Linked DNA regions of Saccharomyces cerevisiae S288C. Changing the gene in region 1 together with any one later gene gives a genetic interaction. Each region holds a gene or a part of one and is shown in the gene's direction. Other genes may lie near its edges.

Region 1 (5,011 bases):
ATCGTTTGTTTCTTTATACTATGAAAGATGTTGAAAGATATAATTCTGACGACTTTGACACCGAATTCAGGGAGCCTGATATGCCTACATTCGTTCCATCTAGTTCCTTAAAATCCTGGTTAATGGACGACAAAGTGAGAGATCAGTTTGTATTACAAGATGACGTGAAGACTAGTGTGTTCTGGAACTCTATGTTCAATGAAGAAGATTCTTTGGTGGAATCTAGAGAGAACTGGTCTACCAATTATGTTAGATTCTCCCCAAAGGGTACCTATTTGTTTTCTTACCATCAACAGGGTGTAACTGCATGGGGTGGTCCAAACTTCGATCGTTTGAGAAGATTCTATCATCCAGATGTAAGAAACTCTTCCGTCTCTCCGAATGAAAAGTACCTGGTCACTTTCTCCACGGAACCAATCATTGTAGAAGAAGATAACGAATTCTCTCCATTTACCAAGAAAAATGAGGGTCATCAATTATGCATCTGGGACATTGCTTCTGGTCTGTTGATGGCAACTTTCCCAGTGATAAAGAGCCCATATCTGAAATGGCCTTTAGTTAGATGGTCTTATAATGATAAATATTGTGCTCGTATGGTTGGAGACAGTTTAATAGTTCACGATGCTACTAAAAACTTCATGCCATTAGAAGCTAAGGCTTTGAAGCCTTCTGGTATTAGAGATTTCTCATTTGCTCCAGAAGGTGTTAAATTACAACCATTCAGAAACGGTGACGAGCCTTCTGTTTTATTGGCTTATTGGACTCCTGAGACTAATAATTCCGCTTGTACTGCTACCATTGCTGAAGTTCCTCGCGGTAGAGTGCTAAAAACCGTTAACTTAGTTCAAGTCTCCAACGTAACTCTGCACTGGCAAAACCAAGCTGAGTTCCTGTGCTTCAATGTCGAACGTCACACAAAGTCTGGTAAGACTCAATTCAGTAATCTACAAATTTGTAGGTTGACTGAAAGAGATATACCAGTTGAAAAGGTTGAATTGAAAGATAGTGTCTTTGAATTCGGTTGGGAACCCCACGGAAATAGATTTGTTACAATTTCTGTTCATGAAGTAGCTGATATGAATTATGCTATCCCAGCAAATACAATCAGATTTTACGCTCCAGAAACTAAAGAAAAGACTGACGTAATTAAAAGATGGAGCTTGGTCAAAGAAATTCCAAAAACTTTTGCCAACACTGTTTCTTGGTCTCCAGCGGGTAGATTTGTGGTTGTAGGTGCTTTAGTGGGTCCAAACATGCGTAGATCAGACCTACAATTTTACGATATGGACTATCCAGGTGAAAAGAATATTAATGACAATAATGATGTTTCAGCTTCTTTGAAAGATGTTGCTCATCCTACCTACTCTGCGGCTACTAATATCACTTGGGATCCATCTGGTAGATACGTTACCGCATGGTCAAGTTCTTTGAAACACAAGGTGGAGCATGGTTACAAAATTTTCAATATTGCTGGTAACTTAGTTAAAGAAGACATCATTGCTGGCTTCAAGAACTTTGCCTGGAGACCAAGGCCAGCTTCCATTTTGTCTAACGCCGAAAGGAAAAAGGTTAGGAAAAACTTGAGGGAATGGTCTGCCCAATTCGAAGAGCAAGATGCAATGGAAGCTGACACCGCCATGAGAGATTTGATTCTACACCAACGTGAATTATTGAAGCAATGGACCGAATATAGAGAAAAAATTGGCCAAGAAATGGAAAAATCTATGAATTTCAAAATCTTTGACGTTCAACCAGAAGATGCCAGCGATGACTTTACCACCATCGAAGAGATAGTTGAAGAAGTTTTGGAAGAAACAAAGGAAAAGGTCGAATAAATTTCATGAACTTACGGGCTTGTATGTAAACTAACAACAATATCTAGTATAAGTATGAGAATTAGTCTAATATTCATAAATACTACAATAGGCTCTATTATCTTTGTAATCTGCAGGGGTCGCTCTCCTCGTACAAAATTATAAAAGGGTCCTGCGTCCTTTTCTAGTTGCACTTTTCTTTTTTTGTTCTCCGAGAATTTCTTTTTACTGGGCACAATTTTTCCTCTTTTCTTTTTGTTTTAGGCATTATAAAGAAGAAAAATTGGCTTAGAGAGAATATACTTGCAAATTGAAAACTATAGTCACTGTGAGAGATTGGACTAAAAAGCGCAAATTTGAGATAAAGTGGGATCTTCCTGATATTAGCTGTCGTTACTGGTTTTAGCACGAGTTACCGACTATTTTGCGTTTTTCTTTTAAATTATTTTGTTGTCCCTCTTTATCTTTTGCACTGACGCTTTATTAGCCACTAATTAGAGTATCCAGACATTCTTTTTGAGATCACTACTACTTAATTGAAGAAAACATAACCTATTGATATGTCCACCCTTTTTCTGATTGGAATACACGAGATTGAGAAATCTCAAACAATTGTACAGAATGAACACTATTTTGATAGAGTGATTGAGCTTCAAGATTTGGATTCTCTGATGGTAGCATTGTATAAGGACAGAGTTTCGCCTTTTCCAAACGTCCATAACTTTGAAACGGGCGTATCTATAGTTCTTTATGACCCTTCAAAATTTCAATTATCTGTGCGACAATTGGATGTTCTATTCAAGCGATTTTTCCCATCTTTCAATATTTCTGCGATAGATCATACACGAGAGGAAAACCTGCAACGTCTTGAATGTGTTGAGCGTGAAAATAGCATCTGTCGTAATAGAATAACGAGAATTAACCACTGGATGTATCACCATCATGATGATACTCCAGACGGTATTAACAAAAACAGCTATGGTACTGTAAATGGGAATTCTGTCCCCACTCAAGCATGTGAAGCAAACATTTACACTTTATTATTGCATTTGAATGATTCCAAGGCACAACATTTACGAAAGGCATCAGTGCCAAGGCTAATTCGCAACATCGAGTTTATGTCTTTTTTGTCAGATCCAATAGAAAAAATTTCTCAAGAGGGATCACATTATTGGAACATTCTATCAACTTGGGACTTTTGTGCTTTATCATTAAGCACTCAAGAATTGATTTGGTGCGGGTTCACGCTTATCAAAAAGTTATCTAAGGATGCAAAAGTACTCATTGCAGATAATAAGTTACTGCTACTACTATTTACTTTAGAATCATCCTATCATCAAGTTAACAAATTTCACAATTTTAGGCATGCCATCGATGTCATGCAAGCCACATGGCGATTGTGTACATATCTTCTTAAAGATAATCCTGTACAAACATTACTGTTGTGTATGGCTGCCATAGGTCATGATGTCGGTCATCCTGGGACTAACAATCAACTATTGTGCAACTGTGAATCAGAGGTTGCTCAAAATTTCAAAAATGTCTCTATCTTGGAGAATTTTCACAGGGAATTATTTCAACAATTGCTATCAGAGCATTGGCCTCAATTGCTATCTATCTCCAAAAAAAAATTTGATTTTATTTCCGAGGCTATTCTGGCCACAGATATGGCATTGCATTCTCAGTATGAGGATAGATTAATGCATGAAAACCCAATGAAACAAATCACTTTGATATCTCTAATTATTAAAGCTGCAGACATCTCTAATGTGACGAGAACCTTGTCAATATCAGCACGTTGGGCATACCTCATTACTCTCGAATTTAATGATTGCGCTCTTTTGGAAACATTTCATAAAGCTCACCGCCCAGAACAAGACTGTTTTGGCGATTCATACAAGAATGTTGATTCTCCGAAAGAAGATTTGGAATCAATTCAAAATATTTTGGTGAACGTAACAGACCCTGATGATATTATCAAAGACCATCCGCATATTCCAAACGGTCAAATATTTTTCATTAATACGTTTGCTGAAGTATTTTTCAACGCATTAAGTCAAAAATTCTCAGGATTAAAATTTTTAAGCGATAATGTCAAAATCAATAAAGAATACTGGATGAAACACAAGAAACCACAATAGCAAGAATATCAAAATTTCTTGTACCATTCATTGTATAAACATATAAATATATACATTTACTACTAGTATATTTCCTTTTGTGAAGTATTTGTGCTAAAATTCATTACCCATTTTATTTTTTTTTCAAATATGCGTTCTTCCTTTAATATTGTATAATAATAACCCAGTTGATTATGGCTATTGTCTGTTTTAAGTGATATATATATATATATATAGATACATACATTAAATTTATTTTTCTTTGATTAAATTAATGTTTTTTAGTATAGTGATACATATTTCCCGAGTTAAAAGTTAAGTAAATAGTTTTATGCCATTAAACGGTGCAAAAACAGGTGTAATCTAAAATATTAAACTCCATAAAAGAAAACGTTAAAATTACAAAATAAATGAAATATGTTCCCTGTGTTGGTATATGCAAAGTAAATAAAAATTAAATCTTTATGCAACGTCAAGACAATCAACTTTATTATGCCAGATTTAATAAGCAGATCTATCAATTAAATCACGTTCTTTGTAATCAATAACGATTCCAAAAGCCTTCAACAATTTTCTCCTTGCACCCAAGGCAAGAACGCCTTTTTTTTCTAAAGTCTCGTCATCTAAGTAAATCAATTCGATCCACGGGGTTCCGCTTAAGGCATCTGAATACTTGTGTAGTCTTAACGATTTTAACCACATGGGTATATTTTTTAGTAGCTTGGGGTCTGTCAAACTCTTTGGATTCATCGAAGAGTTACTCGATAAAGGAGTGTTTCCGTTAGATGATGTAGATGTCGATGTGGCACTTGTAGGACCAGCATTAGGATGCGTAATGGTATTATTGAACACGTTCTGGTTGGACTTATTCAAATCAGTTCCTGATGGTCTTGAAGTATTCGAAAAATATGAGGTGGTATTATGCAGAGGATGATGCAATGAATGATGGTGATGAGAATTGTACTCATTTCCCATGTTAGACCTTTTCTTTGGTTGGAAAAAAGAATGGGAACTTGAGAGAGAGTGAGAAAGATAGTTGGGATTCTCTGATGGCAACTTTTTATATTTGGTACTGTT
Region 2 (4,139 bases), on another chromosome or scaffold:
TTCAAGACCAGTTCGCAAAGCTGGGTTGTGAAAGTCCCAGAACATGATCAACAGCTTAATACGTTTGAAAAACGTTATGATGAACTCTTTGATGCTCAATTTAATAAACTAGAATTTTTTAAAATAAGAATGAAAAAATTGAAAAAGAATAAGCCAATTGAGAAAAAGAACTATAAAATATGGTGTCTAGAAAAAGAAGACCTAAAGGATTTGGTATGGGATCCTCTGAAAAGAATTTGCAATCATTCTAGGTATGCAATATTTGAGCATGTTACCATAAATAGGGAGGCCTATTCGATCAAACCATTAAGGTTAACTTTTCAAAAATTAGATTCCGGCTCCCTTGACCTGATCGATAATCAAAAAAAGACGTTTGGTAGTATAAAGCTTGCAATGAGTATGCCAGATGTAAAAAAAACTGAAAATCAGTCAATTGAAGAAAGTGAAAGACACGATGAAACTGCTATTGAAACCCAAGAATTTGATGAAAATGATTGTCTTTCATCTAAGGCGGATATTAATACATCATTAGCTCCTCAAAAGAGATCTTTCATCGATAATGAACTAATGTCCATGTTAGTCACCAAAAAAAAAATAAAGAAGGACAAGGATGTTAGTGACACCGGTATATCTTCCACTTCATACTTGATAAATTCTGGGACATATGCAAATTCTCATATTGAAATTCCTACCTCTAATTCAGTTTACAATGGAAAGGAAGATTGCTCATTTAATAACTACTCAGTAAAGCATTCAATATTGGAAGAAGATATTGAGAATAAATGCATAGCCGTAAATGAAAACAAGGTGATTGAGAACCAAAAGGTAATTCAGTCATTATGTAAAAATTCCCATCTAGACCTTATCGAACAATCTTACTTTGGCGAATGCGATTTCATTATAAACCATTCAACATGTGTATATAAAATTCAGGCGAGCCGATTTATGCAACTCAGAAATAACGGCTCATTGCATTACGATAAAGCGGTAAACGATCTTTTAACTGAATTTCAGAGAGTCATTATAATTGTGGAGTTTTCTGAAATAATACAAGACGTTGATCCTGATCTTTTCTGGAAAATCAAACTTTATTTATTGAATTCACGTGTTGATGTTTTTTTCATTCATGAGACTACTGACTTTTTTATTGATTGGATGAAATATTTCATTGCAAGATGGGCCTTTTCATATAACGATGAGAAAGAAAAAAATATTGCAAATGCCGATATTCTTCTAGATTTGGGATTTAACATCCTCTTAGTACGGAAAATTTTCCAGACATATAGTCTCGAAGAATTTTTTATGGCAATAATAAAGGAAGAAAGCAAAGCTGTTAAAATGCTTACGGTTTCACAAATGACTCGCCTGAAGAAGTTATTAACCTTAGAATGGTAAATCCAGCAAGGATCGTTACCCGGTAAACTATTTATACTACGCCTGCCTCTTTCGTTCTTCGACTACATGCTACAGTTAGTAAATTCAACCAAGGAAAATGTATTTATTAACATGAACTAGCCACCTAATTAACCCTTACCTTATTTTTTATACCCTTGGATCATCGGAGTATCTGTAGATCATATGTTAACGTATGTATAATATTACATCTGTCACAATAAACAACCCGAAAAAAATACCGCACGGAAAATGAGTTACTGATTAAGATGCACTTTTTGGTGAGGGTGCGTGACTTGAAACTAAAAATTACCAATAGTCAAACCCTTTCCATTTTCGAGGGAAGCAATATCTGAAATTTATATTTTTAGAAATTTCCAAGAGAAAGTGGCTTTTAACGAGGTTCTTCTTCTTCATCCCCTTTTTTACCAATATTCCTTTTTATGGTTGTATTCGAAATAACTATACTTGGGGCCAATGGAGGACCCACCGAATACGGAACACAGTGTTTTATACTTAAGCCTGCTAGAACAGAGGATCCAGAATTAATAGCTGTAGACGGTGGTGCAGGAATGTACCAGCTACGGGAGATGTTGGTCCAAGGGCGAAATGAAAATGAAGGTGATGATGAGCTTGTTCCAAGCTTTTATGAACATGATCGAGAGCCAATAGAGTTTTTTATTGATTCCAAACTGAACATACAAAAGGGATTATCCAAGTCCTTGCTACAATCATTAAAGAGGCAGGGAGAGCATTTTGAAAGCGCCAATACAATGAAGAAAACTTACGAGGTTTTCCAAGGAATTACCGACTACTACATTACCCATCCCCATCTGGACCATATTAGTGGGCTGGTAGTAAACTCCCCCTCAATATATGAGCAGGAAAACAGTAAAAAGAAAACTATTTGGGGATTACCGCATACTATTGACGTTTTGCAAAAGCATGTCTTTAATGACTTAATATGGCCAGATTTAACGGCAGAACGTTCAAGAAAATTGAAGCTAAAATGCTTGAATCCGAAGGAAGTTCAAAAGTGCACTATCTTTCCTTGGGATGTAATACCGTTCAAAGTTCATCATGGGATAGGCGTCAAGACTGGCGCGCCGGTATACAGCACCTTCTATATCTTCAGAGACAGGAAAAGCAAAGACTGTATAATAGTTTGCGGAGATGTTGAGCAGGACCGCAGAGAATCTGAAGAATCTCTACTTGAAGAATTTTGGTCTTACGTTGCTGAAAATATACCGCTTGTGCATCTCAAGGGTATATTAGTCGAATGTTCATGCCCATTATCTTCCAAGCCCGAGCAATTGTATGGTCATCTATCTCCAATATATTTAATCAACGAATTATCCAATTTGAACACTTTATACAACAGTAGTAAGGGATTAAGCGGTTTGAATGTTATCGTTACTCACGTTAAGTCAACACCTGCTAAAAGAGACCCAAGACTAACCATACTCGAAGAGTTACGATTTTTAGCTGAGGAGAGGAACTTAGGAGACTTGAGAATATCTATTGCGCTAGAAGGCCACACTTTGTTTCTATAATGTACACAACGTCAATAACATAATACTACGTAGATGAAAAGCGGAAAAATTCATTACCCGGGAGCAAGCAAAATACTAGTAGTAACTAATGAAACTTCTTTCCATTATTATTGATGAGTTAACTTATGTAGACTCATCTTTGAATCCCCTATCCCAACATAAGTCCCGGAATGGAACTCCGTAGTTTTTCTAGACAGCCTGATGGCATACTTGCTAACCCAAGATTGGGAAGGGAGGAAGTATTGGAAGGTGAACATCCGCAAGATGCTAGATTAGCCCGACAAAGCATTTGGTTGAGCCCAAGTTTAATTGCGGAGTATATACAGCTTTTTTTCAATTTTATTATAGGAACTATAGGACTGTCTCTTGCTATTAAATTCATTTTGATGATAAGAAACGATGTTAACTTAAAACTGGAGCATAACGTGAGGGAAGAATTAGATAAAATTGCAACTTGCAAATCAAGGTATTTTGAAAACCAGTGCGAACCTCATATGAGGGTTCCAGCATTGGAGGTACGTTGCAATGAATGGTCAAAATGTATGAACAAGGAAATAGTGTCTGGCTCCGATTACCAATGGGCTAAAGCATGGGCTCGTACTCTGGCGGAGGTAATAAATGCTTTTTTTGAAGCGTTCAGTATACGATCTTTCCTTTTCATTTTAATTAGCATAATAGGTATAATATTTGTTACCAATACGAGTTTCGGATCATACAGGGTTTATCTCAATAATAAAGATACAAAATCGGTTCGCCATGCATAGTGTATATAACTTAATCTAATCTGCACATTTATATTATTTAGATCCATACGTCGATGAGGATATGCGCAGGAAAGACATAAAGGAATATTGTTATTTCAAAGATTTTCTCCACTCCTTAAACCCGTTCGATAATATATGTTCTCCATCAATCAAACCTGAATATTCCTCATCACTTTCTTCAATTTCGGATAATCTTAGGTGATTATTTTCGAAAACCAACTTAAATGCTCTTATTTGAGAATGAGGATCCTCATCTCTTGGTATCATTTTCAAAAGCCACTCAGTAAGGAGACCATACCATTTAATGGCTTCTAAACATGCACTTCCAACTTGTGGATTATTGTTCTTTAATAAAACAGGTACTTCCTCCGTTGAAAACTCTTCCACAGTTTTTAATACATAATGGTCGTCTTTAAAACCATATATGATC

The links. Genes that interact genetically often act in the same process or in processes that back each other up.
Region 2: mutations in PDE2 (region 1) and PDE1 impair growth when combined (synthetic growth defect), as found in Saccharomyces cerevisiae (8 studies listed by BioGRID, with this or other methods).

What each region holds. Positions count from the first base shown.
Region 1 is NC_001147.6:1,012,185-1,017,195, reverse strand, and holds PDE2 (3',5'-cyclic-nucleotide phosphodiesterase PDE2), read left to right. Parts: upstream 1-2,374; coding exon 2,375-3,955; downstream 3,956-5,011. Other genes in the region: PRT1 (translation initiation factor eIF3 core subunit b), read left to right, coding at 1-1,835; VTS1 (Vts1p), read right to left, coding at 4,436-5,011. UniProt on the Saccharomyces cerevisiae protein: Controls the level of cAMP in yeast cells, together with the low-affinity cAMP phosphodiesterase (PDE1).
Region 2 is NC_001139.9:33,818-37,956, forward strand, and holds PDE1 (3',5'-cyclic-nucleotide phosphodiesterase PDE1), read left to right. Parts: upstream 1-1,835; coding exon 1,836-2,945; downstream 2,946-4,139. Other genes in the region: ZIP2 (Zip2p), read left to right, coding at 1-1,395; BRR6 (Brr6p), read left to right, coding at 3,116-3,709; RAI1 (decapping nuclease), read right to left, coding at 3,800-4,139. UniProt on the Saccharomyces cerevisiae protein: Controls the level of cAMP in yeast cells, together with the high-affinity cAMP phosphodiesterase (PDE2).